Danio rerio: one gene and its partners. The protein of the gene in region 2 interacts with the protein of the main gene of each other region in a pairwise test. Links are inferred from orthologs where the notes say so. Each region holds a gene or a part of one and is shown on either strand. Other genes may lie near its edges. The genes, in order: kif5aa, itsn1 and cyth1b.

What was found.
Region 1: the proteins of itsn1 (region 2) and kif5aa interact in a two-hybrid assay, tested with the Homo sapiens proteins (2 studies listed by BioGRID and IntAct). The link is inferred for Danio rerio from reciprocal best matches to the Homo sapiens genes ITSN1 and KIF5A.
Region 3: the proteins of itsn1 (region 2) and cyth1b interact in a two-hybrid assay, tested with the Homo sapiens proteins (2 studies listed by BioGRID and IntAct). The link is inferred for Danio rerio from reciprocal best matches to the Homo sapiens genes ITSN1 and CYTH1.

Annotation. Positions count from the first base shown.
Region 1 is NC_133184.1:242,819-246,478, reverse strand, and holds part of kif5aa (kinesin family member 5Aa), read left to right. Parts: intron 1-1,035; coding exon 1,036-1,140; intron 1,141-1,590; coding exon 1,591-1,639; intron 1,640-1,724; coding exon 1,725-1,780; intron 1,781-2,117; coding exon 2,118-2,205; intron 2,206-3,660. UniProt on the Homo sapiens protein: Microtubule-dependent motor required for slow axonal transport of neurofilament proteins (NFH, NFM and NFL). Can induce formation of neurite-like membrane protrusions in non-neuronal cells in a ZFYVE27-dependent manner.
Region 2 is NC_133176.1:50,305,245-50,307,751, forward strand, and holds the end of itsn1 (intersectin-1), read right to left. Parts: intron 2,256-2,507; coding exon 2,082-2,255; intron 1,854-2,081; coding exon 1,705-1,853; 3' UTR 587-1,704; downstream 1-586. UniProt on the Homo sapiens protein: Adapter protein that provides a link between the endocytic membrane traffic and the actin assembly machinery. Acts as a guanine nucleotide exchange factor (GEF) for CDC42, and thereby stimulates actin nucleation mediated by WASL and the ARP2/3 complex.
Region 3 is NC_133187.1:35,985,079-35,989,177, reverse strand, and holds the start of cyth1b (cytohesin-1b), read right to left. Parts: upstream 2,911-4,099; 5' UTR 2,677-2,910; coding exon 2,598-2,676; intron 1-2,597. UniProt on the Homo sapiens protein: Promotes guanine-nucleotide exchange on ARF1, ARF5 and ARF6. Promotes the activation of ARF factors through replacement of GDP with GTP.

The DNA of each region.
Region 1 (3,660 bases), on a different chromosome or scaffold from region 2:
ACACAATACAACACACAATACATTTACTTAATATATAAATGGATCAAATGCAACCCTGAACCCCAGAATGGGTTAATTTACTGTGTTTTCAGTCTTACTCTGCTTACCATGATAATAAGCGTTAAAGATTTACTCATCCATTAACATGATTTCTGCAGACCACAACTCCCATGATTCCACACTCAGTCGCAGTCATTAAAATGAATGCACGCCCTCTAGTGGAGACAATTACACACTGTGCCTTCATTTGAATTGTTCATCATATATGCATGTACAAAATATTCATCATTTACCAAAATGACATAAAAAGACAGCAGGAAAATGTATTAAATGGATGTGTTCACTCATTTTCTATTCCGGCTTAGTCCATTTATTATTCTGGGGTCGCCACAGCGAATGAACCGCCAACTCATACAGCTTATGTTTTATGCAGTGGATGCCCTTCCAGCTGCAACCCATTACTGGGAAACATCCATACACACTCATTCACACTCATACACTGCGGACAATCTAGCCTACCCAATTCACCTGTACCGCATGTGTTTGGACTGTGGGGGAAACCGGAGCAAACCTACGCAAAGGCAGGGAGAACATGCAAACTCCACACAGAAACACCAACTGACCCAGCCGAGACTCAAACCAGAGACCTTCTTGCTGTGAGGCGACAGCACTCCCTATTGTGCCACTGCGTCACCCCTAAATAGATGAGTGTGTCAGTTAAATGTCTCTGGTTTGACGATAGTGAATGATTGGCTTTCTCCAGTCTGTATTAAACATGTTAGAACGGCTTCCACACTTTAATCTTCAACTTCTATCTTAAAACTTTAATTTGGCTTTTAATGTGCATCTACTACTGCGGTTTTACTTCTGTTCACAGATTGTGATGTCTGTGTTTCACTTCTTAATTTGCAGTTTTGGTCCGTGTTTAACCCTACTCTAGAATAAACTCAATTTCTTTGGATTACACTAATATAAAACTGCACTTAAAGAAATGTCAGAGTTTCAGAAATCTCACTGACTGTGATGTGCTATCAGGGAAACCTTCACGACCCGCAGCAGATGGGCATCATTCCCCGCATCGCCGAGGACATCTTCAACCACATCTTCTCCATGGATGAAAACCTGGAGTTCCACATCAAGGTACACAGAGATCAGTCGTCCCATCATCCCCGAAACCCAGGACAATAAGCTGCACCAGCCTGAAACTGCAGTTTCAAAGGGACAGTTCAACCAAAAATACACCTTCTGTCATCATTTCTCCATCCTCCACTTGTTCTGAACCAAGTGTTTTTCTTCTGTTGAACACAAAGGAATATACACTGGGAAACAACTGTGTTTTTGTTCCTGCTATGAAAATCATTTTGTCCAGCATCCTTCAGGATATCTTGTCTTGTGTTCAACAGAAGAATAAAACTGTGCTGTTAAAGTTTATTAGCAGTTAAGTGTGAGAAGATTTAGATTTTTGGTTGTAAAATCCCTTTAAGAGTCAAATCAGGTTAATGCTTTATCATTTAGTTCAGTAATAGAGCTTTCTTACATTGGTGATAAATTAAAGCTGGTCTGATGTTAGCTGTGTGTGGTTTCCCTCAGGTCTCCTACTTCGAGATCTACATGGAGAAAATCCGCGATCTTCTGGACGGTTTGTAGAGCACAAAGACAGAACAGCGTGTTAAACTCACTAATGTGATCTTTCTGTTCCTCACTGCCTTTCTTCTCCTCTTCAGTCACAAAGACCAACCTGTCTGTGCATGAGGACAAGAACCGCGTCCCGTACGTGAAGGTGAGCGTGACACCTGCAGCTTCATTACTGTGGGGACTGACTGAAGAGTTGTGTGTCAGCTTCAGGGATTTCATAGTGATGTTAATAGTCAGGAATAGATGCTTCTGTTTGGTCACCATCACTAAAACACTGGAGTTTAGACTGCTTGAATGGCATTCAGGTTCACTGTTTTGCATTAGCTGGGGTTAAAAGAGAAAGAGTCTTCACATGTGCAAGACACGTCTTCTGCTCTGCTATGACAGTGATGATGGAAACTGAAGACATTGTAGTTTCTTTAACCAGCTCAATCAGGATCAGCTGTGTGTGTGTGTGTTAATGCAGTTGTGTTGTGCTCCAGGGCTGCACCGAACGCTTCGTCTCCAGTCCTGAGGAGGTGATGGACGTCATCGATGAGGGAAAGTCCAATCGGCATGTCGCCGTCACCAGTAAGTCATTCAGCCATCAGTAATCAACATAATGGTATTCAGCTCTGTCTGAAAACCTCAAAACAAGACCGATATAAAGGCCCTGTCCACATAAACGCAAGGTATTTTCAAAACCACCATTGTTTTCGATGTGTTTGGCTGTTTGTCCACATGAAAATGCAGTATCAGATGACTGAAAACTAAACTTAATGAAAACAATTCAGTTCAGTTCAATGTTATGTAGATCACACTTAAAAACAACAGAATTGACCAAAGTGCAAACAATCAAGGGTTAAAGCAAAGCAGGAAACTTACTGTCAAAGCTAAACAATACAATTAAATCTAAATAAAATGCTGTGCTCACAGCCAATGACATCAATGTGTGCTGTGTGGGTCTTCCTGATTGGCCAACACAACAGGGTTTACACCAAATGCAAATGAGGCGAGATTTACGCACGTTCACGTTGTTTGCACGGTGGGACGGTAATCCGCTTCTGTTGTCACGTTCATTAACTTGTTTGCAATTTATTTGTGAAAATACGTTTTAATTCCACGTTTGGTGGAAAACGTTTATCGCCCCCTGCTGGTTCGACATGCCCTTAACATGCGTCACATACGTTTTCATGTGGACTAAGATATATTTTAAAATGCAAGTGAAGAAAACTCTGTTATTAAAATATTAAAATCTTTATTAAATAAAAATGACTGTTACGCCCCAAAACTCAAAACTGGCTCGAATAATAACAACATCAAGGTTTGAGCTGAACATATGAAAAGACACAGACGCTAATGTTAATAAATTGACGTCCTGTTAATAATGCTTTAATTTCCAGAAATTAAATATTCCAAAAGAGATGACAAAACATTAACAAAAATCATGTAGACAGGTATGGTAGCTAAGAAAGCTGTTTTAAATGGACAGATCTTACCTACAACTCCCGTTAAAGGAATAAAAAACAGGTGAGTCATCCGGGCCGCTGCTTACCTTCGCTAAACTAAATAAATACCAAAATGTGCCTATGAAAAATACTCCACTACCATACGAAAACAAACAAAGCATCAAAATAAACAAACTAGAAAACACATAGAGAAAACTAAAAGGTTAACAAGAACAAAACTCTAAAGAGTGCGGCATGTAGATGGATCCTGGCCGGCCGCCTGAGCGCAAGCCACCACCAAGCTTAGAGAGACTGAGCCGCCACTGCTGTCAGCCTTATATACTGGGAATCCCCAGTGACATCACGGGCCTCATCCAATCCTGGACAAGCCGTGTAGAAAACTCCACCTACAACTCAAGCGCAGCAAGCAGACACCTGCAACAAATAAATAAATGAATTAAATAAAACACAGACCCGCGTAACAATGAGCCAAAATGAACTTTTGATCAACTCCACAACCAGCCAGTGTTCAGAATTGTCATTACATCAGAGCCCAGTTCAGCTTGTGCTCATCCTGTATTATTGGAGTGATGGTAGG
Region 2 (2,507 bases):
ATCCCCTGTGGCAATGTTATGTCTTAACTGTGTGTTTATGTGCGGATTACTGGGCTTTTTTTTCTCCCTGGTCTCACATTGCCCTAATTCAAGAGCAGGGTGAGAGGGAGTCCCTCTCCTGAAATTTATCTTACTTCCGTTTTTCTAAATGCTACCTCCTGTGACCCGTTTTCCTCTGAAAATTGTGATGTTTGTGTACAATTGTGAACTATGGGGGTTCAAATTCACTATACAAAAGTGTATGTGACAAATAAAGGCCTGATTTGATTTGAGATGTTGGACTGAAGCAGCGAATATTAATTTACAATGACAAAGAGCAGTAGGTTTCTGAAGAACTACAGTGAGATTTCAGCTGCTGTCTGGGCTTTCACTGCTATTCTACACCTTCCCTTCTTCATGTGTTCAATACTCCCACCAAAAATTGGTGACGTTCAATACTTATTTCCCCCGCTGTATATTTGACATCCTACAGGTAAACGCTCCTGATGTGGTATTTCTGTCGGCCTCTGAGATGGGTCTCAATTTCTACAATAAATAAAAGTAGCAAAGACATAAACAAACAGGGCATTGTTCCTTTCCTCGTTCACTTTTGCGTGTATATATATATATATATATATATATATATATATATATATATATATATATATATATATATATATATATATCAAAACTGTCTTTTCATGGAGCGTTTGCGACCATTTCTTGAGACTTGCTCACATTTAATGGGCCCTCGAAAACATCTACATCCCATCACCGGTGTCTTTCAGTAAAAATAGATGAATATTGATCAACACAACAGAGGTTTGCCAGCAAAACCTGGGTTTTTAGTGTTAGGAACTGAAGATATGGAATAAAATGATGGAACGGCGATAATAAAGGTGAATCTTACGAAAACCTGTTTAATATTTGCATTAAATAAAAACGAGGCCTGCTTTCAGGATAATCATCTCATATTACTGTAGGTTTAATAAATTACATCTTTAAAAAATATGAATCAATATAAATTACAAGCGAGCAGACTACCATGAAGCATAAATAATTAAATAATAATCTCACAGGTATACGATTGGATTGACAGTAATAGATTTTCATGAGATTCACCCATTCACCGAAATGGCACATGATTTGGAACGTGTCGTTATTCAAGAACAGGGGTGTCCAAACTCGGTCCTGGAGGGCCGGTGTCCTGCATATTTTAGTTTCAACCCCAATTAAACACACCTGAGCCAGCTAATCAAGCTCTTTCTAGGTGTACTAGAAACTTCTAGGCAGGTGTGTTAAAGGAAGCTAAACTAACAGGACAGAGCTTGGACACCCCTGTTCTAGAATAATTCTGTATATTCTAAAATCAAGAGCTTTTAAGAATATTGTGTCAAATGGCACTACTGTTCATTAGAGCTCATTAAAACGACTCTTTAAGACTTACAGCATCCATCACACACGGCTCTACAGCACGTCCTGTTTTCATTTGCGCACACACACTTGACTTGTCTTAAAATGGACAATAAAAAATCCAGTCAGGATCACTCGGTAAGACTGTTACAGCATTTAGCGGACTCACAGACGCTTGTGCGGATACACACACATTCACGCACTGGGATTTATGACGCTGGGGGATTGTCACATTAGGCTGGTGGGCTTCACCACGGAGGAATGAGGGATGTGGTATCTGTGGGGTCGAAAAGGTCAGGTTAAATAATGCGCTCAGGGTTCATCGAAGAGCTGCAGGTCCAGTCGCACCACAATCTCTCCCGTCGGGACTTCGTGTAAAAGCAGACGCTTGGTGATGGGACCCTTCGAGCCCTGGTCCTTCTTGATGTCGGCCAGCCGAATCTCCGTCCTGCCCAAGAAATCTAACAAGAAGGGGAAAATAACGAGAAATGGTATTGAGAATGAAAAATACAAGTATAATTTTCAATTTTTTGTTGTTGTTTAAAGCTGCATTTATTTAAAATCTAGAAATACAGTAAACAGTGCAATATTGCGAAACACTACTTTTTTTTTTCCTTTTTAAATAAATTGCACATTTTTTATTTGTTAGTTTATTTAATTCATTTAGATTTATGTTGGAGTTTACTGACCGTCCGGGGAGAACTGATCCCTCTCAAACACAGTGACACACAGCACGTCCTGCTCCAGGTCTTTGATGAAGAACTGGCAGTTTGAGTTCCACTTGGGGTTCAGAGTGTCCTGAAGGGTCTTGGTGACGTGACACTGAGAGCCCATCGTCACCTCACAGTACGGGTTACTCTTACCTGCACAGACACCGGACACACATCAGGTGATCTAGTATCTGAGTGCTTATATAAGGAGAAAACGATTGTACACCTGAGATGGTGATGCAGAGAAGCTGTTAAAATCTCAAGTGTGCATTATATTCTAATAACTCAATCGATTCAGCTTATACAATGGTTACCACACCTAACGGCATCGTTCAGAAGTTCAGATGTTGTATTTTGAGACAACTAGTTTCCTACACATCTCATCCAAACCCTTATTTGATCCGA
Region 3 (4,099 bases), on a different chromosome or scaffold from region 2:
TTCACTATGTGTATTTGCTTTAAATCTGATCTTTTACCTTAATTTGTGAGTCCTTTGTTAAGGGTTTCAGGTGATATAAGGGTAAGGAAATGACACAAATTTATTTTTTGGTCAAACAAATCCTGTAAAAATCCACCAGGTCACACATTTGCAATGTTTTGTTTAGTTGAATATCACCATATTGTGTAAATAAACATATATGTACAGTATACCATTTCAGTTTCCTAAAAAAAGAAGTCCTTTTTCCTTACGTCAACTTCTTAACTTTTCTGAAGTGAATATAAACATGGCAGCTTTTTTGTTACAATTCATTAATCAATGCCAAATCCAGAGAACTGATAACAACTTTGAAGTAGAATAAAAAAGAAGCATTATTTTGAAAATGTTGTCATCATTTACTTTCAGACTTGCTGGAGTTTTTTAATATGAATATTATCAGGCCTTGACATTAGCACCTGCCAAATGCGGGTAGATTTCTGCTGTGGCGAGTTAGACAGACAGTCCCACTAGCCACTTTGGCTATTTGAAGATTCATTCGCCACAGCGGAATGAACCGCCAACTTATCCAGCACTTGTTTCATGCAGCGGATGCCCTTCCAGCCGCAACCCATTTCTAGGAAACATCCATACACACTCATACACTACCTGTACTGCATGTCGGACTGTGGGGGAAACCGGAGCACCCGGAGGAAACCCACGCGAACACAGGGAGAACATGCAAACTCCACACACGAACGCCAACGACCCAGCCGAGGTTTGAACCAGCGACCTTCTTGCATTGAGGCGACAGCACTACCTACTGCGCCACTGTTTATTTTTTTATTGTAGTTTTCTTAAAAGCAGGATTCGACAATAATGATGGCCCAATATTCAAGCAAATGTGATCTTAGAATCGAGAAGCAACACAACTGACAAAAATAGCTGTGTTCGTGCAAGCAAAAGAAAGCAAGTGAATACCGAATGAGAGAATGATCACGGTCACGCAGAGGTGATGTGATGCGAGTGACTGTAAAAAAACGCACGCACTCCTGTTTACTTGCACGAAGCAACCATGCCTAGAGAAAACGCAACTGGTGCGAACGGTTCTCTTTGAAATAGACTGGACAAAAAGCAATCGTGCACCCACAGTCCTGCTGCTTTCAAGAGCTAGAGATTTATATGTCTATATCTTTTTTTAAGCAGCAGCCGTCACTGCTTTCATTTTAATTATTCTTTTAACAGATTAACAGGGCTAACGTTAACCGTGTGCGCGTGATCATCCTTTCATTATCCCTCACAGTATGTTTTTACCTGCTTTCTTTTTGCTTACGGTTATTTTTGTTAAAAGGTTTAAATTGTCTTCTTTTTTTTAAAATAACATTGTTTTAATATGAGATTAACTCCCTGTTTTTGTGTAGTTAACTGGTGATCTGGGACCATTAGCCATGACAGATTACTGTGCATTTTTTAGATATACATGACAATAGTTCTTTTTTAAATGTCTTTTTTTAAAGAAATGTTTAGTTGAATTAAAAGCGCATGTTTACAGCTAGGCGAGGCAGTGGCGCAGTAGGTAGTGCTGGGTCGCTGGTTCGAACCTCGGCTCAGTTGACGTTTCTTTGTGAAGTTTGCATGTTCTCCCTGCCTTCGCGAGGGTTTCCTCCGGGTGCTCCGGTTTCCCCCACAGTCCAAAGACATGCGGTACAGGTGAATTGGGTAGGCTAAATTGTCTGTATTGTATGATTGTGTATGTGAATGTGTGTGTGGATGTTTCCCAGGGATGAGTTGCAGCTGGAAGGGCATCCACTGCGTAAAAACTTGCTAGATAAGTTGGCAATTCATTCCGCTGTGGCGACCCCGAATTAATAAAGGGACTAAGCCGACAAGAAAATGAATGAATGAATGTATACAGCTATATTTAGCTTGTTTTGACACATTTAAAATTTGTGGCCAAATAATACATTTTTGGTGTGATCAGAGATAGCTAAATTTGATAAATACTTAATTTCGAGCTCTGAAAAGTCATGTGAAATAAAAACTAATCGCAATGTGACACGGCTCATTAGCCCATGCATACTGAGCAAGCTCATACACAACACACACAGTAATTTTATCATGTCAAAGTCTAATTTATGCATATAAAATATATTTTCCCAATAACAAAAGTATGGCTAGTGAAAATGGCGAGTGGCTAGTAATGTTGGGAAATCTACTAGCCACAGTGGCTGGTGATCAAAAAGGCCAATGTTAAGCCCTGAATAATATGAATATAGCTGGAAAACTAAAACAATTGGCTTACATGGTATTTGGTTTTCCTACTATGGAAGTCAATATTTACAAGTTTTTCAGCTTTCTTCAAAATATATTATTTTCTGTTCAACAGAAGAAAGAAACTCAGGTTTTGAACCACTTGAGGGTGCCTAAATAGTGGGTAGATTTCATTTTGGGGTGAACTATCCCTTTAAACTATTTGGGTGAAAGAAACTTTGCTAACTTCATAAGCTAACCTTGTAAATCAAAGCACAAACATGTGAAAGTGAGCTCATCTCTCAACAAATCCCAGATTTCTAATACACACATTACTCCCAAAACACATGCACGTCAAACACCAAACCCACCTGCTGGAGGAGCCGGGTGAACCGTAGGACACAGAAACGCCTGAAAGCTGGACGCGCAGAGTTCACTCACCGTCCCCATCGCTAAACAATCCCTGATTCACTTTAAAGCCTACAGTTCGAATGTGAGAAGTAAGTCCCTTTAAGCACCAAGAGAGAAAAGACCAGCTACTTCCTCTTCAGTCCGAAAGCAGAACTTGTTCAACTGTTTATACTCTCGCCTCAATCATTCATTTCAATAGTATCCAACAGTAAATCCAGAGCAAAAGAGCTCGGATGCACAGCACTGCTCTCTTCACCGATGAGCGCCGCTCTCACAATCTCTCTGACTTCACTCCTTGTATTCTCTCTCCTCCCTCCCTCTCTCTCCTCTCTCACTCTCTTTCTCTCTACGTTCGGTTTAATACAAACTTGCATTATTGGCAGGACAAATGTTACATATGTATTGCCAAAGCATTTGTGTTTACAATAAATAGAACATATGAACACAAATGACATAGTAGTAGTGATATAAATATCTACAATATGTGTATATATATATAACAGTAGTATATTTAGCAATCAAGATTTTGGGACAAAACAATAATTCATTCTTTAATTTTCCTTCGGCTTAGTCCCTTTATTCATTAGGGATTGACACAGTGGAAAGAATCACCAACTTACCCAGCATGTTTTACACAGCGCATGCACTTGCAGCTGCAACCTGGGAAACATCCATACACAGTAATTCAAACAGACAATTTAGTTTATTCAATTCACCTATAGCACATGTCTTTGGACTGTGGGGGAAACAAGGGCATCATAGAAGCAATTGAAAAAATATAGCCTATCATTTGCGCGATGTGTTAATACCACAGTACTCTTTTTCATTTTACCCTTTAGCAGTCACAAGACTGAAACCTCGAGTTTAAGGCAGCACTCATGTCTCATCACAAAGGGGCAACCAAAACTGACACATAGGCCCAATTTTAATTCTACCCCTTAGCCCTTACCACTTTTTTTGCATGTTAACGTGAAGGGGTTGGGGTTTCCCAGTTCTCTTTAGCTTGAAGGCATAGGGCTAAGGGGAAGGGGTAGATACCTCACGAAAGGGAGATTTTACAGGACCACACTCGAAATCAAGGGGAAAATTTTTTTCCCAGAATACACCAGCAACATGGCTGCACATTTTTTGTCATTGCTACAAATTTTTACGACAAACAAGCACATGTTTTAATACATTCATAACCGTGTTCATGTTTTACCGTCATGCTTTAAAAAAAAAATATATATATATATATATATATATATAAATAAAATAAAAAAACGGCAAATTTCGCTATCTTTAATCCATAATAATAACTCCAATATTAACTCCTGTACAGCAGTCCCACAACATTCTGTCACTCGATGACACTCAAATACCCTGTCAGAAAAGTCTAGTGGATGGGAATGAGCTTTTCACAGTGTCTGCTATAATGATAATGTTGTTTTCATCTGTTAAGACGAATATGGCCACTGTAATG